Xenopus tropicalis: one gene and its partners. The protein of the gene in region 5 purifies or fractionates together with the protein of the main gene of each other region. This does not show direct contact. Links are inferred from orthologs where the notes say so. Each region holds a gene or a part of one and is shown on either strand. Other genes may lie near its edges. The genes, in order: ilf2, dnajc8, cwc15, prpf3, sf3b1, sart1 and snrnp200.

The links.
Region 1: the proteins of sf3b1 (region 5) and ilf2 fractionate together in Homo sapiens (co-fractionation; 3 studies listed by BioGRID and IntAct, with this or other methods). This does not show direct contact. The link is inferred for Xenopus tropicalis from reciprocal best matches to the Homo sapiens genes SF3B1 and ILF2.
Region 2: the proteins of sf3b1 (region 5) and dnajc8 purify together in Homo sapiens (co-immunoprecipitation; 4 studies listed by BioGRID and IntAct, with this or other methods). This does not show direct contact. The link is inferred for Xenopus tropicalis from reciprocal best matches to the Homo sapiens genes SF3B1 and DNAJC8.
Region 3: the proteins of sf3b1 (region 5) and cwc15 purify together in Homo sapiens (co-immunoprecipitation; 3 studies listed by BioGRID and IntAct, with this or other methods). This does not show direct contact. The link is inferred for Xenopus tropicalis from reciprocal best matches to the Homo sapiens genes SF3B1 and CWC15.
Region 4: the proteins of sf3b1 (region 5) and prpf3 purify together in Homo sapiens (co-immunoprecipitation; 3 studies listed by BioGRID and IntAct, with this or other methods). This does not show direct contact. The link is inferred for Xenopus tropicalis from reciprocal best matches to the Homo sapiens genes SF3B1 and PRPF3.
Region 6: the proteins of sf3b1 (region 5) and sart1 purify together in Homo sapiens (co-immunoprecipitation; 4 studies listed by BioGRID and IntAct, with this or other methods). This does not show direct contact. The link is inferred for Xenopus tropicalis from reciprocal best matches to the Homo sapiens genes SF3B1 and SART1.
Region 7: the proteins of sf3b1 (region 5) and snrnp200 purify together in Homo sapiens (co-immunoprecipitation; 4 studies listed by BioGRID and IntAct, with this or other methods). This does not show direct contact. The link is inferred for Xenopus tropicalis from reciprocal best matches to the Homo sapiens genes SF3B1 and SNRNP200.

What each region holds. Positions count from the first base shown.
Region 1 is NC_030684.2:144,160,640-144,164,600, forward strand, and holds the start of ilf2 (interleukin enhancer-binding factor 2 homolog), read left to right. Parts: upstream 1-1,161; 5' UTR 1,162-1,216; coding exon 1,217-1,221; intron 1,222-2,937; coding exon 2,938-2,994; intron 2,995-3,562; coding exon 3,563-3,605; intron 3,606-3,716; coding exon 3,717-3,821; intron 3,822-3,908; coding exon 3,909-3,961. UniProt on the Homo sapiens protein: Chromatin-interacting protein that forms a stable heterodimer with interleukin enhancer-binding factor 3/ILF3 and plays a role in several biological processes including transcription, innate immunity or cell growth.
Region 2 is NC_030678.2:79,254,527-79,258,654, reverse strand, and holds the start of dnajc8 (dnaJ homolog subfamily C member 8), read right to left. Parts: upstream 2,801-4,128; 5' UTR 2,767-2,800; coding exon 2,698-2,766; intron 1,701-2,697; coding exon 1,599-1,700; intron 1-1,598. UniProt on the Homo sapiens protein: Suppresses polyglutamine (polyQ) aggregation of ATXN3 in neuronal cells.
Region 3 is NC_030678.2:164,535,102-164,539,054, reverse strand, and holds the start of cwc15 (protein CWC15 homolog), read left to right. Parts: upstream 1-1,153; 5' UTR 1,154-1,188; intron 1,189-2,655; 5' UTR 2,656-2,666; coding exon 2,667-2,797; intron 2,798-3,953. UniProt on the Homo sapiens protein: Involved in pre-mRNA splicing as component of the spliceosome. Component of the PRP19-CDC5L complex that forms an integral part of the spliceosome and is required for activating pre-mRNA splicing.
Region 4 is NC_030684.2:127,685,432-127,688,400, forward strand, and holds the end of prpf3 (U4/U6 small nuclear ribonucleoprotein Prp3), read right to left. Parts: intron 1,823-2,969; coding exon 1,676-1,822; 3' UTR 501-1,675; downstream 1-500. UniProt on the Homo sapiens protein: Plays a role in pre-mRNA splicing as component of the U4/U6-U5 tri-snRNP complex that is involved in spliceosome assembly, and as component of the precatalytic spliceosome (spliceosome B complex).
Region 5 is NC_030685.2:45,884,422-45,887,921, forward strand, and holds part of sf3b1 (splicing factor 3B subunit 1), read right to left. Parts: intron 1,921-3,500; coding exon 1,723-1,920; intron 401-1,722; coding exon 299-400; intron 1-298. UniProt on the Homo sapiens protein: Component of the 17S U2 SnRNP complex of the spliceosome, a large ribonucleoprotein complex that removes introns from transcribed pre-mRNAs.
Region 6 is NC_030680.2:38,873,155-38,875,889, reverse strand, and holds part of sart1 (U4/U6.U5 tri-snRNP-associated protein 1), read right to left. Parts: intron 2,425-2,735; coding exon 2,303-2,424; intron 2,169-2,302; coding exon 2,047-2,168; intron 1,951-2,046; coding exon 1,780-1,950; intron 1,689-1,779; coding exon 1,578-1,688; intron 1,503-1,577; coding exon 1,415-1,502; intron 1,173-1,414; coding exon 1,082-1,172; intron 662-1,081; coding exon 526-661; intron 442-525; coding exon 352-441; intron 1-351. UniProt on the Homo sapiens protein: Plays a role in mRNA splicing as a component of the U4/U6-U5 tri-snRNP, one of the building blocks of the spliceosome. May also bind to DNA.
Region 7 is NC_030679.2:125,079,387-125,082,886, reverse strand, and holds part of snrnp200 (U5 small nuclear ribonucleoprotein 200 kDa helicase), read left to right. Parts: intron 1-77; coding exon 78-269; intron 270-411; coding exon 412-590; intron 591-671; coding exon 672-823; intron 824-1,488; coding exon 1,489-1,597; intron 1,598-1,670; coding exon 1,671-1,779; intron 1,780-2,011; coding exon 2,012-2,201; intron 2,202-2,283; coding exon 2,284-2,448; intron 2,449-2,533; coding exon 2,534-2,655; intron 2,656-3,500. UniProt on the Homo sapiens protein: Catalyzes the ATP-dependent unwinding of U4/U6 RNA duplices, an essential step in the assembly of a catalytically active spliceosome. Plays a role in pre-mRNA splicing as a core component of precatalytic, catalytic and postcatalytic spliceosomal complexes.

The DNA of each region.
Region 1 (3,961 bases), on a different chromosome or scaffold from region 5:
GATGGGGCCCAGCAGTGTAGCATCTGCCCCCGGGGCAGTTCTGCAGGTTGCAGTGAATATGAATAAAACCTGGGGGTAGGTACTAACAGGGCGGAAGCTGCCGTTGCTCCCCTGCTGGGACATTGTGTCTCTCAGTAGCACCAAAAGGTGTGTGCGGATCACAATAGCACAGGGCGGAGTCCTGTTGGGGCAGATTTCAATGTAAATACCCCTGAAGGAACCTCATGGGGGGGATGCAGCAGTAACATATCTATGTTAAAGGGCTAGTTCCCCTTTAAATGAACTTTTTTTTTGTGGTTTTTCAGTTATTTAGGTTTTTGTCCTGGAGCTCTTACTATGCACCTATGCGGTTGCCAGGGTCTTATTTACCTTAGCAACCAGGCAGTTGTTTGAATGAGAGACTGGAATATAAATAGGAGAGGGACTGAATGGAAAGATAAGTGATAAAAAATAACAATAATATTGTAGCCTTACAGAGCAGTAGTTGTTTTTTGGTTGCCGGGGTCAGTGACCCCCATTAGAAAGCTGGAAAAAGGCAGAAGAGACTTGTAAGATGTTTGTTGCTATTACAGTGTTTGTCTGCTGCCCTGCTGGTTCTGACTTCTGAAGCAATGTAGCAGAAGCCAACAGATTCACAGAGCTGGAGAAGGAATTGACTGCTGCCACACACTGTATTACAGGAGTCAGAATGGGAAAGGCTGTGGGGTAACTACAGGAACAGCCCCCCCCCCCCATTACTTGTATCTCCCCAATAAACCCTCACAGACTTGCACATTTTTCATAAACAAACTATTTTGTGAGAGTTTTTCCACCATTGTTAGCGCCATTTCTTTACAGGGCGATACAAATGCAATACTGGAAGTAAAAATACCAGCAGCCATTTTGTCCAGGCGTTGTGTTGGTTGATTATAAATAAAGTTTAGCGGGAAAAAGTGGAATCTGCCGCCATTATGGAAGTAGCGTCCTGTGTGGGCGGGCTTACTCCGCCTTCGGCGATTGGTGAGTGTCCCCGTCCGTCACAGCGATGCGTTTGCCGAGCGGGTTTGGATAGGTTGTCAGACGCCGAGAGGGAGGGAGTTGACTGTTCGTGATGCTGATTGGCTGTGGAACCGGTCGTTATAGCCAATAGGAAAGCAGATTGTTGGTCTAGTGTGGCTGTATCGAGGGCCGAGAGGTTGTCCATTGTGCGGGAGTGTGAGGAACGAAGATCTGAAACATGAGGTGCGGGGGGTTCGGGGGCCGAGTGGGGAGCTGCCATGGGGATTGGGGGGACCGGGAGCGGTGCCGGGTTTCCTTCTCGCCTTCCGGGGCCTATTGTGGGGCACATTGTGTGCTGGGCTCCGGGGGGCCTGGTCCTACTGAGAATAGGATAGGGGGGCTCCGGGGGGTACTGTACCTAATATATAGGGGGGCCCTGGGGGTACTGTACCTAATATATAGGGGGGCCCTGGGGGTACTGTACCTAATATATAGGGGGGCCCTGGGGGTACTGTACCTAATATATAGGGGGGCCCTGGGGGACTGTACCTAATATATAGGGGGGCCCTGGGGGTACTGTACCTAATATATAGGGGGGGGGCCCTGGGGGGAACTGTACCTAATATATAGGGAGGGATAGGGGGGCCCTGGGGGGAATGTACCTAATATATAGGGAAGGGATAGGGGGCCCTGGGGGGAATGTACCTAATATATAGGGAAGGGGATAGGGGGGCCCTGGGGGGACTGTACCTAATATATAGGGAAGGGATAGGGGGGCCCTGGGGGACTGTACCTAATATATAGGGAAGGGATAGGGGGGCCCTGGGGGGACTGTACCTAATATATAGGGAAGGGATAGGGGGGCCCTGGGGGGACTGTACCTAATATATAGGGAAGGGATAGGGGGGCCCTGGGGGGACTGTACCTAATATATAGGGAAGGGATAGGGGGGCCCTGGGGGACTGTACCTAATATATAGGGAAGGGATAGGGGGGCCCCTGGGGGGGACTGTACCTAATATATAGGGAAGGGATAGGGGGGCCCTGGGGGGACTGTACCTAATATATAGGGAAGGGATAGGGGGGCCCTGGGGGGACTGTACCTAATATATAGGGAAGGGATAGGGGGGCCCTGGGGGGACTGTACCTAATATATAGGGAAGGGATAGGGGGGCCCCTGGGGGGACTGTACCTAATATATAGGGAAGGGATAGGGGGGCCCTGGGGGGACTGTACCTAATATATAGGGAAGGGATAGGGGGGCCCTGGGGGGACTGTACCTAATATATAGGAAGGGAAGGGGGCCCTGGGGGAACTGTACCTAATATATAGGGAAGGGATAGGGGGGCCCTGGGGGACTGTACCTAATATATAGGGAAGGGATAGGGGGGCCCTGGGGGGACTGTACCTAATATATAGGGAAGGGATAGGGGGGCCCTGGGGGGACTGTACCTAATATATAGGGAGGGATAGGGGGGCCCCTGGGGGGACCTGTACCTAATATATAGGGAAGGGATAGGGGGGCCCTGGGGGGACTGTACCTAATATATAGGGAAGGGATAGGGGGGCCCTGGGGGGACTGTACCTAATATATAGGGAAGGGATAGGGGGGCCCTGGGGGGACTGTACCTAATATATAGGGAAGGGATAGGGGGGCCCTGGGGGGACTGTACCTAATATATAGGGAAGGGATAGGGGGGCCCTGGGGGTACTGTACCTAATATATAGGGAAGGGATAGGGGGGCCCTGGGTACATGATCGGATAACAAATATTGGGCGCTGGATGTTTGAATAATGATATAGTGATAATAAATGAGTAGAACACAGAGGGTCATACAGTAATAAATACAAAGTAGTTATATTAGAGATTAAGAGCTAAGTGTCCTGTGACGCTTACAATCTAAGGTGCCCCCCCCCCCCCCAGAAATGTACGTATTCTAAATTGTTCTACTTTTCTTAGGGGTGAACGAGGACGTGGACGTGGCCGCTTTGGCTCCAGAGTGGGACCTAACACAGGGTGAGCTGCCTATTGTAACTACATACTCCCGTCAGTCGCTCCTGGGTGGAAATGTGATGTAGAGGGTAATGTTCCGAGACAGCTTGCAGTTGGTCTTCATTTTGTATTCATAGTTTTTTAATTATTTACATTTTTGTTCAGCAGCTATCTGGTTGCTAGGTGGGTGCTAAATCACCTTAGCACCCATGTAGTGGCTTGATTAAGAGACTGATCTATGAATAGGGGAGGGGCTGAATAGAAAGATAAGGAATAAAAAGTAACAATAACCATAAAACTGGAGCCTCACAGAGAAGTTTTCTGGCTGCCGGGGTCAGTGACCCCCATTTTGAAAGCTGAAGAGAATAAGAGGAAGGCAAATGATGAAAAAATAATAAATAAATAATGAAGACCAATTGAAAAGTTGCATTGAATTGGCCATTGTATAACATACTAACAGTTGCGTGTAAAGGTGCAGCCCCCCTGACTCTGTGCCATAGGGTAGCCATATTCCTTATTCAGTAGCCACATTGTGCAGTGCAGGTACATGTTCTCTAATGTAAATATGACCCTTTTATTCTTTCTCTTACAGTTTCAGACCCTTCGTCCCTCACATTCCCTTTGATTTCCACGTGGTAAGTGGCTTTTCCTTCCCCCCACATTCTGTACATGTATATATATATCTATATAGATAGATATATCTTCTCTATCCTTGTGCTTACATACTGACTTACCCTTCTTTTCAGTGTGAAATGGCCTTCCCGCGTGTGAAACCCGCCCCCGACGATAGCTCATTCAGCGAGTCACTGCTCAAACGAAACCAAGATCTGGCCCCCAGCACAGCCGAGCAGGTAGCTATATGCTTCCCTTGCCCCCCACCCCCGGCACTGTTGCCTCTGCCCATATTCATTATACCCTTTGTGCTCTCCCCCCACCAGGCCTCAATCCTTTCTTTGGTCACCAAAATCAACAACGTTATCGACAATTTGAT
Region 2 (4,128 bases), on a different chromosome or scaffold from region 5:
ACTGGTAAAGGGGATGGAAAATTTAAGCTATGAGGTTAGACTGTCGAGGTTGGGGTTGTTTTCTCTGGAAAGAGGCGCTTGCAAGGGGACAGGATTACTCTGTACAAGTACATTAGAGGGGATTATAGGCAGATAGAGGATGTTCTTTTTTCCCATAAAAGCGATCAACGCATCAGAGGCCACCCCTTTAGATTACAGGAATGGAGCTTCCATTTGAAGCAGCGTAGGTGGTTTTTCACAGTGAGGGCAGTGAGGCTGTGGAATGCCCTTCCTAGAGATGTGGTAATGGCAGATTCTGTTAATGCCTTTAAGAGGGGCCTGGATAAGTTTTTGAACAAGCAGAATATCCAAGGCTATTGTGATACTAATATCTACAGTTAGTATTAGTGGTTGTATATATATAGTTTATGTATGTGAGTGTATAGATTGGTAAGTATAGGTTGTGTGTGCTGGGTTTACTTGGATGGGTTGAACTTGATGGACTATGGTCTTTTTTCAACCCTATGTAACTATATGATTCTCTGAGACTGGAGAAACAAGTATATATTATTCAGAAAACAATTTAATTTCTCAGTCTCAGCATTTGATATGTGGTCTTTGTACTATTTGCAATAATATATTGGGTTTAAATGATTTGCAAATCATCCCATTCTCTATTTTTTACATTTTAGTATCCCAACTTTTTTGAAAAAGGGATTGTATGAGCTTGTGCAAGCTTATGTGCTAACATGACCTGTAGAAATACAACACCAGAAACAAATATTAATTATCAGTGCATTCAGGACAAATGACTTCAAATAACTTTAGCAACATCATTACCATTTTAAAAAAAAATTATATATAATATGAACATGTTAAATACAATTCATAGCGCATATTCGCCCGCTGCCTGGCTGTGTGGGGCATCGTTGGGAAGATATGGGCAAGTAACGAACTGGCTGCCTGTGTGGGGCTGCCCAGGCTTATTGCTTCCCTGCTGGGTACAGTTATGTACGGGGCTTGTCCCCCCTGCTATACTTAGTGGGGGAGGGAGCCGGCAGGGGCGACTGGCCTGTGAGCCGCTCATACAGGGGCCCCTTGCAGGAAGGACATGTGTGGGAGAGCGCCCTGTTGCCTGTGCAGACAGAGCAGGCAGTGTGTAGCGCACAGGCAGGGGGGGCGCAATACACAAACTGAAGTGGGGGGGGGGGTAGGCTTTATGCATAAATGCTAGTGACTCCCAGCACCCTTGGACTGCTGTTAGTGTGGGGATGTGGGAGTAGTAGTTCATTCTCTTTTGTATTGGGCTGTCCCGCTATGTTGTAGAGTTATAACAGCCTGTATATATCATATGCGTGCGCGCGACATCGTAAGCGACGCATCATTGTACCATTAAGAGAAGCCACAGTATGCTCCCACTTGTGAGTTTTTCTGTGGACCTCTATTCATAGTGTACCTTCTCCCATGTAACTGGGGGAGTCGGCTTATACTCGAGTCAATACGTTTTTCCAGTTTTCTTAGGTAAAATTAGGTACCTCGGCTTATATTCGGATCGGCTTATACTCGAGTATATACGGTACCTATAATTTACTAGCTGCAGTCCTTAAATAAAGATTTACCTCAAAAGGGTTTAAGTTAAAGTAGGATGACCCAGGTCTAATCAGTCTTTCTATCTGCTGCTTTGGGGTTAATACAGAATCACGTTTTTCAATTTGCTTAACCTGTGAAAAAATGAGAAATAATTATGTTATTGGCTAAAAAAAATGTAAGTGCTTTGTTTGAAATGAATAATGCACAAAAGCCACACAAACGAGAAATAAATACAAAGGATGTGATTTGAATGCATCAAACTATAAAAGGGCTATCACTTTTTTTATGCATGGCCTCTTTAATAAACACATTTTTAAATCACATATTGCAGCTTGAACCTGCTTGTGACTGAACCTAGGTTGAGGACTATTCAAACATTTATTCTCCGACAGGCATGGGCCATAAAGTAAGGGCAATTCTGCACTATCATTGGTTTTAGCAGATAATGTGCCAGCTTGAACAAATGTATGAATATTTCGATTTATAAACGCACTGCTTATGAATGCAGCACAATACATTTAATAAAACAAAGTTGGGTCAATAAAATAATACAAATACAGTCAGATAAAGAGTGCTACTAAAGTCCACTAGTATAATTATAAGAGATACAATATTTATGTTGTGCAACATACTTGAAGCTCAGGTGGACTCTTTTGCCCCACATATGCACATTAGCCACTGAAGCCAAAGACCATGTGGGGGCCACTTTTACTTTATGGCTGGTTTAACAGACAGCATTTTACAACCCCAGCAAGTATGAGGCTGCTAAAGCAGTTTTGCTAGGCAGCATATTTCTGCATTACCAATTGAATCAGTGGGGATGCTGGGAATCGTAGTTAAATAAACAAATTGCGCATGCTTTTAACACTTTCTCATAATAATAGCTTCCCTTGTAGCAAGCCTAGTCACTTTGCACCATACATGTTGATAGTTTTGCAACCGATGGAAGCCACAAACTACAGCGTTCCCGTTCTTCAAATGTATATTACCGCCGCATTTATGACCTAAGCTCCATTTCTCCGTTCAAGCAAGTACATTTCTTCTTGCCTAGATTTTATTTTTGTAATTCCGGCTATAATTTTACCAAAATTAGCTTGGTGTTAAGCTCTTCCACTACAAACACTTTACCTCGGTGTAAAACGTCGAAAACAGATCATCCACTGAACCGGACGGACCGCCAGACCCGGGAGCCGCCATCTTGCCGCCAAGCACAGACGAACGTAAGGCAACACGTAACCTGACGCTAGGTGGAACGGTAGATCCCAGACTGTTACGTACTGACTAGCGCTACGTGCGCGTAACACATGTTGTCGTCACGTGATTCATAATGGCTCACAGAGCAAGATAATTGATTTTGTGTGGTCTTTCAAATAGCAATAAATTGTACTTTGAGAGCATACAGCCTAATTGCATGAAGGGATCGACTATTTTAAACTCACAGTATCTGATTATTTTACCTTATTCCCTCAATTAGTCACTTTAGAGTTCCATCACAACTAACACTAACTGGCTCCTACTTTCTAGTCCAACTTCTGCCTACTATAATTCTTTGGCATCCAAGTCCCATACCTCCCAAAATTTGAAAAATGAAAAGAGGGACAATTTTGGTCACGCCCACTTTTGTGGCCACGCCCCAATTACCACACCCCATTAAAAAAAAAAATACTCCTTTTATATAGATGAAATGGCGGGATCAGACGCAAATGTGCTATACCCTCATACTGTACTACCTAAGGAAACCAATATAGCAACTCCTACATATAAATACAAATATAGAGAGAAGGCAGTCAGTTATAAGTGAGTTATAACTATGTATCAGCTTTGTCCCCCCCATACACTGTAGCCCCCCATACACAGGAGCCCCCCATACACAGGTGCCCCCTATCCACAGGTGCCCCCCCATACACAGTAGCCCCCCATACACAGGAGCCCCCTATACAAAGTAGCCCCCCCCATACATAGTAGCCCCTATACACAGTACCCCCCATGCACAGTATCCCCCCAATACACAGTATCCCCCTAATGCACAGAGCCTCCATACATGCTGCTGCTTCTTCTTCTGCAGCGGCTCCTCTATATATGCGGCTCCTTGTTCGGCGGTGCCAGGCCCTTTTATTAGGTTGCGTGCGTGCTTGCTTGTGACGTCAATACGCACGGGCGCAACCTTTTTGACCATATGCCTTCTTTGTAATAATACCTTTCAACATTTAAAAAATGCAAAGAAAGAGAAAAAGAAATGGGGCACCTAGTGCTGCAAATTTTTTTTTTGACCATGCCTGTTTTATTGCAACTACACCCCCTAAATACCACACTCATTTTTCAAGATTTGGCAGGTTATTTAAAGGGGATATATACCATAAATTTTTACAATGCACTAAACCATGTCAAATAACGTAAAATAGAAGGAAGTGCTTTTATTTTAATACCTTTGGGTTCAAATATGTCCATAACTGCTTGAAAACTGCTCTACCCAGACCTTATGCCAGCTTCCACTGTTCCAGCTTCCAGTTTTAGGAGGTAAAATGCTTTCAAAACATCTTTATTTCGGCATCATTTAAC
Region 3 (3,953 bases), on a different chromosome or scaffold from region 5:
AGTCCAGTTGCTTTAGGGCTCTGGCACATGGGGCGATTAGTCGCCCGCGACAAATCTCCCTGTTCGTGGGTGACTAATCTCCCCGAGTTGCCATCAGTTGCCATCCCACCGGCGAACATGTAAGTCGCCGGTGGGATGGCACACGCGGCGCGATTTCGGCAAGTCGCCGAAAATGCCTCGCGAGGCAACTGCGCAGCGTGTACCATCCTTACATGCTCGCCGGTGGGATGGTAGTTCAGGGAGATTAGTTGCCCGTGACAAGGGAGATTTGTTGCGGGTGACTAATCTCCCCTTGTGCCAGAGCCCTTACATTTATTTATACTAGATATACCATGACCTGGATGAATGAAAATCTTCATAGACATACACTATCTATCCTTTCACTCCTAGAGTGACAATAAAATGTCTAACTGGCTCCTGTAGCTAACCTCTTAGAGAGGTGAAGTCCCAGGAAGAAGACCTCATGGTTTGTGAGTCCATTCCCTTTTATATTGCAGAACACCACCACCTAGTGGTCACTGCTGAACTGCAGAGGAAACTCTCTTTTAATCTGGAAAGAATAATTATAATAATATAATAATTAAAGATGAATTAAAAAGTTAAAAAAAAAATTGTAGATGTTTATGTAAAGTTGGGGGGAACACAGGTCAAAAAATTTCATAACGGTAATGATGCTTCATTGTTATTTGTATATGACAATAAACTAGAAACTATAGCACACACACAATTAGGACCACCCTTAGGTCCATATCCCACAAGGCCACCCACTGGTATGCCTGTCTAAAGGGGAACCCAGGCACAGGGGCCCAAATCTTGGGGTCCCTACATAAAAATTATTAAAAAGAATTAATGAATAACAAAAAAGGGCAACTAATTTAGTAAAGAGAAATCTCAGTTATGAAAAATGACTGCTCGGAAATGTTCTTATGTAAACCAACACAGAGAAGTCAGAAGCCCTGCACAGTGTTATATAATATTCTCCCTTTACCGCACATACACCCCCTGATTCATTACATAGCCACAACAAACATGGCCGCCGACGGCTTCCAATCAGCTGGAACGCCCTCTTGCTTACGTGACGCGTACTCCGAGCGCCGGAAGTTTCCCGGTGGAAAGAACTAGCGCGACGGGTAATTGTGACGCCAGTCGCCGTGGGATTTGGTGCTGGGGCTGAGGCGCTGTTACGGGGTGAGCGAAATCGCACCTTTGGGAAGAGGGGAATTCAGGCTGAACGGCAGCGATTATTTTAGTCATAGGGGATTGAGGCCCTCTAGGAGCAATATATCGCCCCCCACTATCCCTGTTGGCTGGGGAAGCTTACAGCTCGGCTTTATCTACTTAGCAATACTGTACCCTCCTGCCCAGTCTGTGAGTCCCCTGCTAATGTAAGGGAACTCGGCTGGTTAAGCCTATGGCCAGCAATATCAACTTGAGGGACAATTGAAAGTACAGGCATGGGATCCCTTATCTGGAAACCTGTTATCCAGAACGTTCCAAGTTACAGAAAGGCCATCTCCCATAGACTCCATTTTAATCAAATAATTCAAATTTTTAAAAATGATTCCCTTTTCTCTGTAATAATAAAACAGTACCTGTACTTGATCCCAACTAAGATATAATTACCCCTTATTGGAGCAGAACAGCCCTATTGGGTTTATTTAATGGTTAAATGATTCCCTTTTCTCTGTAATAATAAAACAGTACCTGTACTTGATCCCAACTAAGATATAATTACCCCTTATTGGGGCAGAACAGCCCTATTGGGTTTATTTAATGGTTAAATGATTCCCTTTTCTCTGTAATAATAAAACAGTACCTGTACTTGATCCCAACTAAGATATAATTACCCCTTATTGGGGGCAGAACAGCCCTATTGGGTTTATTTAATGGTTAAATGATTCCCTTTTCTCTGTAATAATAAAACAGTACCTGTACTTGATCCCAACTAAGATATAATTACCCCTTATTGGGGGCAGAACAGCCCTATTGGGTTTATTTAATGGTTAAATGATTCCCTTTTCTATGTAATAATAAAACAGTACCTGTACTTGATCCCAACTAAGATATAATTACCCCTTATTGGGGGCAGAACAGCCCTATTGGGTTTATTTAATGGTTAAATGGTTCCCTTTTCTCTGTAATAATAAAACAGTACCTGTACTTGATCCCAACTAAGATATAATTACCCCTTATTGGGGGCAGAACAGCCCTATTGGGTTTATTTAATGGTTAAATGATTCCCTTTTCTCTGTAATAATAAAACAGTACCTGTACTTGATCCCAACTAAGATATAATTACCCCTTATTGGGGGCAGAACAGTCCTGTTGGGTTTATTTCATGGTTAAATGATTCCCTTTTCTCTGTAATAATAAAACAGTACCTGTACTTGATCCCAACTAAGATATAATTACCCCTTACTGGGGCAGAATAAGCCTATTGGGTTTATTCAATATTTGAATGATTTTTACCAGACATAAGGTAGGAGATCCCTTATCTGGTCACGAGCATTCTGGATAACAGGTCCCATACCTGTAGTATCATTCTGCCTTTCCTGTGCTCTGCGCTGCTGCTTCTGACTCCTGAAGCTGTGTAGAAAAAGTCAGCTTATGAAAGTAGGAATTTTAAAACAGTTCTTGTATTTGTGTGTGAAACAGTTGTGTAAAAGATGACAACCGCGGCCAGGCCAACGTTTGAACCAGCAAGAGGCGGCAGAGGTAAAGGGGAAGCCGATCTCAGTCAGCTCTCAAAGCAGTATTCCAGCAGAGACCTCCCCTCTCACACTAAGATCAAATACAGGTATGTGAGTGGCTAAGGCATGTAAGATATTTGTTCTGTAGTCCTTAACATGGCACAGTGAATTATGTTGGTCATTAAAGGGGAAGTATATCCCCCTTTTCAAGATTATTTCACTTGTGCTTGTGTTGAACATTCTTTTTGTTATTATTTACAAACCATTATGAGACACCTCTGTATATGGGTGAAGACACACGGAGCTACTAGTAGCAGCTACTTGTCACGGCTACTAAAATAGACAGTGCTGATCATTTACTGATAATTGTCTCTAAATTGTGTGTTTTAGCAGAGGCAATTCTCAGTATTGTCTGTGGCAGGGGATTTTCTGGCGTTTAGTAGCCGTGACAAATAGCTGCTACTAAGTACCATGTGTCTTCATCCTAATACCTGTTCCTTATCACAGAGCCTAATGACTAAAGGCTGCCCCTGGGGGAAGGGAGGGGTTTGTTTATACAGTGGACTTTTCGTATGTATATATTTATTAAGCGGTACTTATGTACGCAGCGCTGTACAGTAGAATACATTAATACAAACAGGAGGTTATTAAAATAATAGATAAATACAAAGTATAACAATAAATACAGATAAATACAAGATACAGTTGCAATAAGTTAAGAGTCAAAGACACAAGAGGATGGAGGTCCCTGCCCCGTAGAGCATACAGTCTAGATGGGAGGGTAACTTACAGACACAAATAGGCAAATATAAGTGCTGTAGGTCACAGTGGGTGACATTACAATATAAGTGCCAGTTCCCAGATCAGGTGCTGGGTGAGTGCTCCAAAAGTTAGTCTTTAAGTTTAGTTTTAAGAACACTGGGGAGGATTTTCTTCGGAGGAAATCTGGGAGGGCATTCCAAATATAAGGGGCAGCAAGTTGGGAAACTGCAGTAGTAGTGGGGGGGGGGCGTAACCAAGCAGTTACTCTGCGAGGAACAGAGGAGTCGACCAGAAATGTACGGCGACACAAGGGAAGAGATGTAGTGAGGAGCAGAGGAATGGAGGGCTTTGAAGGTTAGGAGAAGGAGTTTGTAAGATATTCTTTGTTTAATAGGAAGCCATGATAAGGACTTTAGCAGGGGAAGGGCCTGAACTCTCCTGGATGAGAGGAGGAGAATTTTGGCAGCAGTGTTTAATATAGACTGTAGTGGGGAAAGATGG
Region 4 (2,969 bases), on a different chromosome or scaffold from region 5:
AATGTGCTGTACTAAACCTTTATTGGGTGCAGTATAGGGGTCAGAGGTTTAATTCCAGCCAGGGCACAATCTGTAAGGCATTTCTATGTTCTCCCATGTGTCTGCATGGGTTTCCTCTGGCTACTTTGGTTCATTCCACATTTCAAAACCAGCCAGGTTCTTTGGCTCCTGATGAAACTGACCAAAATCTGTGTGACATATAGGCCTTAGATTGTGAGCTGCACAGACATAGGGACGGACATGAATATTATATGAATGGTGCTGTATAACCAAGTCACTGGTCGGGACATTTTGGGAGGTGAGTGGAGAATTATTCCTCTCCCAAAACATTTGTACTTCAGCAGTGAGCCCAATAAATGTATGGAATAGCAGCATCCCATTTACATTTTTGCTTCCGTCCCAGTTTCATGAGCACCTTAATGTATTAAGAGCCATACACACAGCTACCCCCCCCCCGCACATGATGAAATTACACCAACAAAAACTTTCACAACAATTAAAAAAAAAAAAAAGTTTATTATGTCATAGGTTTAGGGCTAAATCCCCCTTTTCCTACACTCCACTTTATAAATTTCACTCTGAAGTTCTGTTGTGCTAAACAAAACAAATTGCCAACAGAATGCCAATCCACAATAAAGAAACATGGAGTCAAATCTATAGGATAAGGTTTCTTGCCAATTGTCCTGTCCAGGGTGCTTGATGAATCCATGTAAACTGGAGCTTATCCGCAAAGCTGAAAATCAACCTTTCCGGTTGTAAGGCGAAACTATTTAAACCATTAATACAAACCAAGGAATTATGAAGTTGAATTGGAAAAAATGCATATGTTTTCAACACTAGAGGATGCTTCTCTGAATTAAAGGAGAACTAAGAACAAATATGGTTAAAATGCTGCCTTCTAAACACTTAACTTACTGTGCAAGCCCAGAGGTTTAGCAGCTATAACAGTAATGACACTTGCCTTCCAATTTGTCCACAGTAGCTCTCCATCTTCTGATATTTGTAAGCCATCTAATGAGTGTCAGTGGCACTGCCCATGCTCAGTGAATCAGCAGAAAAGAGGATAGGGGGTCACAGAACTTTACTGCTAAAGGGCTGTGGTGGACTTAGGCTACAAATACTACCTACACCCTACTGGCTTCTGTATCTTTTTCTCCTTTAACCATATGGATTTTGTAATGAGTTGTTTGAATGCTTAATCCCAATTCCCATTATGTATGGTCTATGTTTTTCATTCTTCCCATGTATTTACATTTTCTTTTTTCTGTTTGCATGTATGAACCAACCAAAATAAGGCTTATCTTTACCAAAATAAATCATTCTGAAAACAGCATTTCTTCAGAGTTGAAGCATAAAGCCTTTTTATGTGAAAAGAAAAAAAAACTGGGGGTAGGGGTAAAGGCTGCAGAGTGGCTGTCATTTATGTTACAATCAGTGAGCAAAGGCTGGACAAGAGCAGGTTGCTATGGTTAAACTGGTCGGCAGCAGTGTTTGAGGTTACCCAGAATTACAGTAAGATGGAAGAGAAGGATAACTTTGCTTGGGCAAGAAACAGTGTGTTTCAAGCTAGATTTAGTTGCGAGCGCTGCAAGTTGTTAAGGCGCTCATAGTCCTAGTCTGTTTTTTCCTTCTGTTTGGAGAAGTGCAGCAGTGTTGTAAGGCTCAGAACTTGCTTTCAGTCTGCAGTTTCCAAAACAGACTTACTAAGCGCCAGATCCCAGTAATGCTCTGCTCCATGTTTCTTAAAATGTTCCCTAGCCATATTTTCTGTGGGACACTGTTTGAATTTCATGTCTCCAAAGCTGCGTTCCTTAGTTGTACCCTAAAAAACAATCAGAAAATTTGTCATGATAATTGGAAGGGAAATGAGGCACTTCAGCTCTGTTTCTATATGCAGATATACAGGAAAGGAAACCATGACAGTCAGCCTCTGAGTTGCATGGACCATACCCCCCTGTCCCCATTAGGCACGCATTTAACCTTTCCTTCTCTTTATTCCATGTTGAAGTGATGGATTCTGGGACTTGAAGTTCTTATGCTTTCCATGCTGGGAAGTGCACAGATTCTCTGCAAAGCAGAGAACTTCATGTCCCAGAATCTTCTGAATTCCTACTCTGAAGTCTAGCTGTGTAAAAATAAATATACATTTATTTCTAAAGGTTAAGGTTAACCGAAGCCCAACTGAATGTCAAAAAGGGCATTTTTTTTTACCTTTAAAGAGAAACTATACCCCCAGAATGAATACTTAACCAACAGATAGTTATAGATAGATAGTATATCAGTAAATATTACCCTTTTACATCCTTTCCCTTGAGCCACAATTTAGTGATGGGCTGTGTGCTCCCTCAGAGATCAGCTGACAGGAAATAATGCAGCTCTAACTGTAACAGGAAGTAGTGTGGGAGCAAAAGGCAGAACTCTGTCCATTAATTGGCTGATGGGGCCTAGCATTTATGTGTGCCTTGGCTTGTTTGTGTGCACCGTGAATCCTATGATCCCTGGGGGCAGCCTTTAGTACTTAAAATGGCAATTTTCTATTTAGGAGTGCAGATGAAGCAGGGTTTTACATATGGGCTGCTTGTTTATGCAATATTTTTATAGAGACCTACATTGTTTGGGGGGTGTAGTTTTCCTGTGGAAATCTTTGTAAATGGTATATTACTAAGTTTCATTCTCAATACATATATTTAGTATTTCCGCCTATTCTGTTTACAAATGTGAACTTGCTTTAGGTAGAATGGGCTTGACTGTATACTCAGTGGCTAGGTCTGCTCCTACATGTATACTTCTGCAATAAACTCAATGGCACATTCAGACCTTAGCTATAGAGACATTCTGCTCCAAGGTTTTTAAGTTTATCTAAAATGGATTTGTATAATCCACTAGAGACTAGTTTCACTAATTTCTGGAATCTTTGTAACAATGCCTTAAATTCAGTGACCCTAGCAGAAGGTTTTCTGTTCCATGCA
Region 5 (3,500 bases):
TTAAATGCACAATTGGAGGAAACAGACCATACGGTGTCTGCTTCCTCTATTGTTACGCCACTGGGCTGTGGGAGCACACAAAGGCTAGGTAAAATATATAAATACAATGGAAGTGTGACTGACTTACACACACATTTAAAACACTTCCCACATTTGCTCTCTCTTCAATAAGTAAAAAAAAAATGCAAAAAGGAAGTATTTAATTACCCAACCATTGATAAATTAGCCTTTATGAATTTACAAAAATACAATTGTTGTAACAAGTGTATAAAACGAAAATGCAAACTGTGACACATACTTTCCTCATCGGAGGTGTACCATTTTTTATTTTTAACAATAACTTCATTATTTTTCTTTCTTTCTGCTCTTCTGGACTAAGTGTAGATTCATCAACATCAACCTGAAAGAGATTGCAAAATATATAAAAATTAATACGAAATAAATACGATGCCCTGTCTTATGAGTTAGTTAGAACAGTAAAAGTATCTATTTTCATCTTTTATGTATACAGAAAAGAGTAAAGTGAAGCAGTTTCCATAGAATATTTTATTAACATTTTTCAGTTAACGTTAACTGGGAAGTTTAGGATTTTATTATACTACATCTACACCACAAATATTTTCTCAGCTTAAATTGTGGTAAATTACCAGGCCTTCCAAATGTTTACACTCTTTTAAACATGGATTTACAGAATGACATATCCTGAATGTACTTTGTTTACTTTATAGACAAATTTCGCCAACTCTTTTAAAAGAAATTTATCCATAAACCAAAACCTCAGTGTGACACTACCATCCCTGTTTTGGGGTAACAGAAATGCAGCATTGGTTTAATGCTACTTTCATATGGATAGTAAAAACATACTTTTATTGGGACTGCTAAGAACAATTAACAGGGGGAAAGCTGGAGTCAATGCATGATTCCCCCAAAGAAATAACCCATGAAACACTTAACTAGGGATGCACTGAATCCATTTTTTTTTTCTTATTTGGCTGAACCCTAAATCCTTTGTGAGTGATTCAACAGAATATCGAACCAAATCCGAACCCTAACTTGCATATGTAAATTAGGGTACAGAAGGGTTCAGACGTGGCGAAAAATTTTCATCTTCCAAGTTTACATAAAAAAAAAAAAAAAAAAGTCATGTGATTTTAAGGATTCAGTTCAGCCAAAATCCTGAATCGAATCCTGAATTTGATGCATCCCTACCCTCAACATAAATATCCACGCCCGACACAGTGAGGACAGAGGATCTCTGCAGCATCTCCCTTACCCAATCACATGCAAGGAAAAGGTGGAGGGATTATGTCCTCCAGTGAAAATATGAGGCACAGTGTTGCACCTAACAAGAAGAGATGTGCTCAAAGAGGTATTGCACATTTCTCTTTTTTATTTATGATTGGTGGATGGTAGTCAATGTAGCGCTAATACTAATGCCAAAAGGAATAAAACTTTCTTGGGTCATCTATACAACTCACTTACAGTTTTCTTAAGTACTTAATATTTTGGGCAAAAAAGCTACTCAAAATGGTCATACCACTTGGGTATGTAGCACAGAAGAGGAAGTGCCATTGATCTGAAAGTGAGCAAGGAGAACAGCAGCACACACAGTGTTGTTGCCATAGAAAGCAGATATCTCAAAGAACCATAAAGGTCAGTAGGGATGTATCTGTCTAGAGGTCATAACTTTCTGGGAAGAGTACAGAGGCAGCACAAACTCACCAACAATTTGTCAAAGTACTGAATATCATCAGGTTTCAGGAACGGAAGATTTCCAGAAGGTTGATCACTAACACTTTTCATGGTTCGATCCTCTGTCGGCATATGAAACCCAGTCAAACCTCCTAATGGTGTTGGAGTTGCGGTCAATTTACGGGCAGGTGTACGAATTGGTACATATCCAGCAGGAGGAGGGAGAACCTTTTAATTTTTTCAGAAGGAATTAAAGAAAACTGTTAATTACCGGTCCATGCAGTTTCTTCAAAGCATATCCTGGAATACATTAGAATTTGAGCCAAAAAGAATAAATAAAAGAGCAGTACATTCACAAAAACAATGACCTTTGTAAGAAAACAGATTATGCATTAAAGGGGGGGACTAGCCAGAAGGCATCTGAAAAGAAAAATGAAGTTATGATTAGAACATTACCTTCTAGACATTCTTCTATATGAATTTAGATACTATGTTTTCGCTTATCTGTAACCCTGGAGCGAACTATAGGTTTAGACTTATGGCCCACAGGAAAAAGGGTATACATGTTGCTTCGTTTTTCGAAGTTGCACAAAGTTTCCCTCCTGCAGGTATTAACCACAGGCAACTAATCTCCCCATGGGCCATTGCCCTTAAGAGTTTGGATTTTATTGTGCTAAAGATTAAACACCATAAAATCGCTGGGATTCAGATGAATACTGTACAGATTTATAAAGAACATTATTTTAATTTTTTTTTATTTTTAGTTTGATTGCTTTATTATCAAAACTGATTGTAAAACTGGTCCCAACACCAAAATCCCTTTGCCTTCAGAGGCAGTTTTGTGTTCTTTTCATAGCGCAGCCAGTATTTTGGAATGTGCCTGAAGTTTAGCTATACGGTGTGCAGCTTCTTTCATCTGCCAGAAACACAATGTCTGTGCTGAAGGCTTTGTAAGTAGAAATTTTTATGCAGATGAAAGAAGCTGCACATTCTTAACTACTGCCTGCACTGTGTAAAGAAGCTTTACTCCAGGCAAAAAGCAGCACTCCTTTTGCCACAAAGATTAGGATGCTATGTCATAAAATGCTGGAGCTTTAAAAATGGGCAGAAGGGCCTGAAACGTTGCATGTACTGACCAGATTTTTGCCATCATGAAATAAAGGCCTTTTATTTATAAGAAAAAAAAAATTCTCCTTAATGGTGCTAGACTTGATAAAATGCTGGGGTGGCAAGTATTGATGACCAAAATATATGGCCAGGCACAGATACGCAGCAAAATTCCACACTTTGCCATTGGTGTTTTTTTTTCTAAACAGACACAAAAATTTGCTGCGAAAAAAAATTGCTGAGCAAGGGAAAAAGTTGCGGTTGCTTCAAAAAAAAGTCAGACACGTTAGAAAATATTGCGTGGTAGACGCGTTTCGCAAATGGTTTAGCAGGTTATGAATTTTTCTGCAAAGTTGGCCAGATTAGTTTATCACTAGTGGCAAGTACTCTGTCATGAAATGCTTGAGGAAAGTGGCGTAATAATTTTACATGTAAATCCCCTCTGCACGCTGGCTTCGAGGTAAGATAGAGGAGAGGGAAGCAAGGATTTATGTACACCAAATGTAAAAAGAGTTAGGGAGCAACACAAGTCTGAACATTGTTCATGAGGGTGCTAAATAAGGGCTGTGAATGGCTATTGGTAGCTCCTTTGTGAACTGGCAGCCTTAAAGGAGAAGGAAAGGCTAAGTCACTTGGGGGTGCCAAAATGTTAGGCACCCCCAAGTGACTTAGATCACTTACCTTTTACCCCGGGGTAGTAG
Region 6 (2,735 bases), on a different chromosome or scaffold from region 5:
TAGATTCTCAAAAAAAGGTGAACTACCGCAAATGCTGCCTGAGATTTGGCTTAACTGAAAAGCATAATTATTATATAAACCACAACCCTGAGTATAATTCATCGCTTTGGTACTGACCAACTAAAGTATCAAAACATGGCACCTTGTTCTCACTGGCTCAGACTTGTATAGACATACTCGTATACATTTATACTTTAGGAAATTAAAACATTTTTAATTTAAAACATAAGGCATACCCTTTCACGTGCATTTTAATACTTCCCATATGTTATGCTCTTTGCAAAGATACTAATGCCCCTTACAAGAGGATACAAATAGTGTGTCTATCTTTGAAGACCAAGTATAACTTACAGCTTCTTCATCCAACTTCTTCATGCGCCTTTCGGTTTTCATCTTGCCAGATCCCTTTCCGTGGAAACGATGAGACAGCTGCCGGAAGGCCTGTGTGGAAAGGGGAATTTAGAAAATAAGCATAAATTGAAGACAAGCAGAACAGAAAATGTAGAGAGCACCATGACAGCTCACCTCCTTGGGACAGAGTTTGCGTCCAGTCTCATCAACATACTCGATCTTAACATCGGGTCTATAGCCTTCCTTCTCTTTGAAATCTTGTGTGAAGCCCCGGTACTCTTCTCTTCTGCTGTATTTATCATCTATTGCCCTTTGGAGTGAGATTAAGAAAGGAACCATAAAAGGTCAAAAGAAAGTTGTTCAGTGACAAGATCACATGTATATGAAACCCAGGTAACAAATTAACCGCTGAATTTGATTTACACAGCTCACCAAAATTATGCTGACCCAGCCATGGTGACTTTGTTGCACTTTATTTAAAGGGCTACTGCTATGATTTTTATGGTATATTTTTATACCATAATTCACTCTACCACTTAAAATTTTATTCTAGAATCAACAAATGTATTTCTTACTATTGAGTGCTATTCTGATATCTGAAATCTGTTTGCGTTTTTGAAAAACAGATTTCAATTCAGGATTCTGCTGGAGAAGCTCTATTAACTGATGTGTTTTGAAAATAAGTATTCCTTTATTGATCTGTTAGCCCTTTGAAAGCCATATTGCTTACATTTTATCCTCTATACAGTATACAGCAGATGGGAGGGACTTATTAGGAGTCTTTACACGAGCCACTTTTTGTACAGTTGTCTCCAGCAATCCTGTTAGGAGGAAACAGATGCTGAAGTTAATGCTCAATGTGAAACCATCAATACAAACAAAATTGATAAAATATTAAAAAAAAAAAAAAAAAAATCCAAATGCTCCCATTTTGGAATCCACAATCACACTGATGCAAATTTTTCAAATTTTTTTTTTTTTTTTTTTTTTAACAATCCCAACCCAAATTTCCCTTGAACATCAGCAATAAAAGTAAAAAAAAAAAAAACAAAAAAAACCTTACCTTTATTCTTACACAAAAGTAGAGCAGCACCCAAACCTCGGTTCACAATAGGTTCTTCATCCAAAATGGTAGTGGAAGAGGCAGAATACTGGAAAGACAGACACTGTCAAGGAGTCCGATACTTACAAGTGTATAAACAAAAACTTATAGCCAAGGAACTTACATCGTGCTGATTCTTCTCTTCATCAAGGTTCACCATGCTCCAACCAATGTTCTCTTCCCCATCAGACTCTCCATTCTCATTTTCAGAATCTGCTTCATCCTTTTCAAAGTCCTAGTAGCAGAAAAAAAAAAAAAAAAAAATGCTACACATATAATAGTATAAATAAAGTAGAAAACTTGACCAACATACAGGATGCACATACCATGAGATCCTCCTGATCCTCCCTGTTTCCTGCAAGTCCATATGTTGGGATTTCCCCAAGGGTCCTGCAGAATTCAGAAGTTGCATTGAATACAATTGAACCTTTCTTATCATCGTCATCTTCTTCGTCCTGACCTTTCTGAGACTCCACCCTTTTGACCAATGCAACAACCTGAAAAGCAAAAATTAGATTAAAAAAACAAGAGATTTAACTTTTGATCAAAGTAAGACTGAAATACTGAAATGGGAATTGTATTCCCCACTACACCTTATCACTGCTGTCTTTTTGTTGCTGAATTTGTTTTAATCTTCTGCTTTTCTCCAACTGTTTTTGTAATTCACTTTCAAGTTCATCTTCCTCTATAACTGCTGCAGAGTCATCATTGTCTTCTTTAAAAGGAAAAAGTCATTAGCAAGCCCTTTATAATTAAAGCATGATAGGCAGGTAAAGAACGAAGAACAACGGGTGAATGAAAAGGCACACTTAGAAAAGAAATAAACGGAGAATGTAAATATTTTCTTACCCTGGTCACTCATAACCATGCTTTCCACTCGAATATCATCAGACTGCAGTATTTCATCTATTTCTTCTATCCCGTTCTCCTCGTCTGAATCCTCTACACGCCTACGCCCACGCCCCCTTGATCTGACAAGTTAATTAGAGAAGGATACAGAGGTCAGTAATAACTGGACCAAACTATCTGTTGTACCTGCAGGGACAAAAATAATCCACTACAGGATAAACTAAGCTTTTTGTTTTGTTAAAAACCATACAGCTAATTTTTTGTGGGACAGTGGGTACACCCTAAGACTTCCATTCTTAGAGTGCTACTTTTTTCACCCTCTTTCTGTGTCTTTTAGAAGAGCTGAAGATGTTAGAAAGCATATGTCATGTAGAAAGTGTAATACATTTTTGTTATAGCGAATTCAGTATATAAAATACAGCATTTCTAGCAA
Region 7 (3,500 bases), on a different chromosome or scaffold from region 5:
TTAGTTTAAAAGCTGAACAGTCATGTAAAATGGGTAGGATTGGAGATTTCTAAAGCAATATTTCCTTCTCTTTGCAGCCAGTTCTTGAGGTAATTTGTTCCAGAATGCGGTACATCTCCTCCCAGATAGAGAGGCCTATCCGTGTCGTGGCCCTAAGCTCCTCTCTCTCCAATGCCAAGGATGTTGCTCACTGGCTGGGTTGCAGTGCCACCTCCACATTCAACTTTCATCCCAACGTGAGGCCTGTTCCTCTGGAGTTACATATACAGGTACTGTGGGTCTGATACATATTTTGTATATTCTGCCACCAAGGCCTGCAAAAGGCTTCTGATACAATGGCAGCTTTGTAGCATTATGGCTGTTGGAAATGTATTGGACTTACAGCAAAATCTCTCATTTTTTGTATTGCAGGGCTTTAACATCAGTCATACACAAACGCGGCTGCTTTCTATGGCTAAGCCAGTTTACCATGCCATCGTAAAGCACTCGCCAAAGAAACCCATCATTGTTTTTGTGCCGTCCCGGAAGCAGACACGTCTCACTGCTATTGATATTCTTACTACCTGTGCAGCGGATGTGCAGCGACAAAGGTAAGAGATCCAGTAGAAAGTACCTTGGGCTGGGATTTGTAACGTGTTTGGGGAATAACCTTTATGAATGTTCTCTACAAGGTTCCTGCACTGCACAGAGAAGGATTTGGCTCCTTACTTGGAAAAGTTGAGTGATGAAACTCTAAAGGAAACCTTGTTGAATGGGGTGGGCTACCTGCACGAGGGCCTTTCATCACTGGAGAGACGGATTGTGGAACAGTTATTCAACACTGGTAAGCTTTGCCACTGTGTGTTGTCTTTATGGGTGACTGGGTTTTAGTAGCTCGTTTCTTTTTGCTTATATTGCTTGGTTCTTTGTGGTGTCTCGCCAGAGCGTGGAAATGCAAACCACAGAATAACATTAACTATATAACAATAACTTTTACAAAAGTACACTTCTATTTTCTGGTGTGGGCATCTTCCAAGCTGATATTTTGGGTCACCCACTGAGTTATGGGATTAGGGTTTTGCATAGAAGGTATTAGGGTTTTGCATAGAAGGTATTAGGGGAGATTTTCCATGCATTGCAAATGAAAAGGCAGTGCAATTGTGTAAATTTTAGGTTCTTGATGTATTTTGAAAAGTTGCTTAAAATTGTTTACTTTTCAAAAAGTTGTTTGGGTGGAGTTCCTCTTTAATTAAATGGTGGTAAAAAGTCAATGCAGTACCAGCAGTAGACAAGGAAGCCAGACAATTTGAGTACTTCTGCAACAGACTTTTTGTGCAATCTGACTGCCATACACCAGTGCAACACCAAATCCAACAATGCGAGGCACACATGTATAATGAGCCATATTATAGCTGCTGAACTATGGGAGAGACACAGGATAAAGGAGTGGTACCCAGAACCAAGTATCTTAAACAAAACATCAATCAATCTCTTTCTGTATATTTTAAGGAGCGGTACAGGTGATTGTGGCCTCTCGCAGTCTTTGCTGGGGACTTAACATTGCTGCACATCTGGTGATTATCATGGACACACAGTACTACAATGGCAAGATTCATGCGTAAGTATAGTCTGATCATTTTAGCCTTCCCTTATTTCTAAGTTGCTTAGCCTGACCACAATTTGTTTTTTAGGTATGTTGATTATCCCATCTATGATGTCCTGCAAATGGTGGGATATGCCAACCGGCCCTTGCAGGATGATGAAGGGCGCTGTGTTATTATGTGCCAAGGATCAAAGAAGGTGCGTTTAGGGGAAGCACTAAGCTTTCTTTCCTTTTTATGGAAAGCCATATAAATCATAGGTTATCATAATAGGGACTCATTTACGAGCACAAGTTTAGCTTTCTTCTATGCCTCCTCCCTTTCTCTTTCCTGTGCTCCTCACATGGTAATTTTATCTTCTCAATTTCATTACTTGTGTTTTTACCTTTGCAAACTGTACTTACCATTCAGTGTATTTTATTCCTTTTCAGGATTTCTTTAAAAAGTTCCTGTATGAGCCTTTGCCTGTAGAATCTCACTTGGATCACTGCCTGCACGACCACTTCAATGCAGAAATTGTCACCAAGACAGTTGAGAACAAACAGGATGCTGTGGATTATCTGACTTGGACTTTCCTGTACAGACGCATGACCCAAAACCCCAACTACTACAACCTTCAGGGTGAGAGCCTGCATACACAGAAGTGATATAAATTGTGTGCTGTCTGTCTTATGTCTCTTATAACTTCTTTGCTCTCCCGCAGGTGTTTCTCACAGGCACCTCTCGGATCACCTTTCGGAGCTGGTTGAACACACGCTGAGTGATCTTGAGCAGTCAAAATGCATCAGCATTGAAGATGAAATGGACGTGGCTCCTCTGAACCTGGGAATGATTGCTGCTTATTACTACATCAACTACACCACCATTGGTGAGGAGCGCTCTGTGCTCTTCTGGCTTGATCTCTTCCTGTCTCTCTCACAGCCTCTCAATTTGCTTTCTCTGCTTCTCCCCAGAACTCTTCAGCATGTCCCTGAATGCCAAGACCAAGGTGCGGGGTCTTATAGAAATAATCTCTAATGCAGCAGAATACGAAAGCATACCCATTCGTCACCACGAAGACAATCTGCTTCGCCAGGTCAGTGTAAGCTGCATCAGAAAACTGCATGGCAAATAGTGCACTGGTGTTGTTGAACAATGCAAGGGAATAGGAGGGAAGCAGGCATGACAACTATAAGGTCTTGCATAGTGTTATGGAAAGGTGCAGTCATCTTTAAGTGATAATAGTGTGGTCACAAGTGGTACATGCTGAGGGCATTGCGATGGGTAGTATGATAGCTTGGACTGGTCAAATGCAATCCCACACTGATTGGCATTCAGTTAAATTGTATTTGGATATTCTATTAAAGAGGCAGTTCACTTTAAGTTAGCGTTTAATATGTTCTATAATGTCATATTCCTAGCAACTTTGCAGTTGGTCATCATTTTTTAAAATATATTTTTAATTATTTGCCTTGCCCTTCTACATCTTTCCAGCTTTTAAATGGAGGTCACTGACCCCAGCAACCAAAAAAAAAAACTATTGCTCTGTGAGGCTTACAATTTTATGATTGTTACGTTTAATTCTTTATCTTTCTATTCAGTCCCTCTCCTATTCATTTTCCAGTATGTAATTCAAACCACTGCCCGGTTGCCAAGGTAAACAAGACCCTAGCAACCACATAACTGCTAAAATTCCAATCTGGAGCTAAATAAAAAAAAAAAAGCTGAGAAACCACAGATATTAAAAAATGAGGACCAATTGCAGATTGTCTCATGATATCATTGTCTACAGCATACTACAAGTTAATTTTAAAGCTGAACCACCCCTTTAATGACTTATAATATTATATTATATATTATAAATACTAATTCTTATATGGGCACAACAAGACCCTCAGGAATCATGGCAGCATGTTGGCTGCAAACAAATGTTTTCGTAGC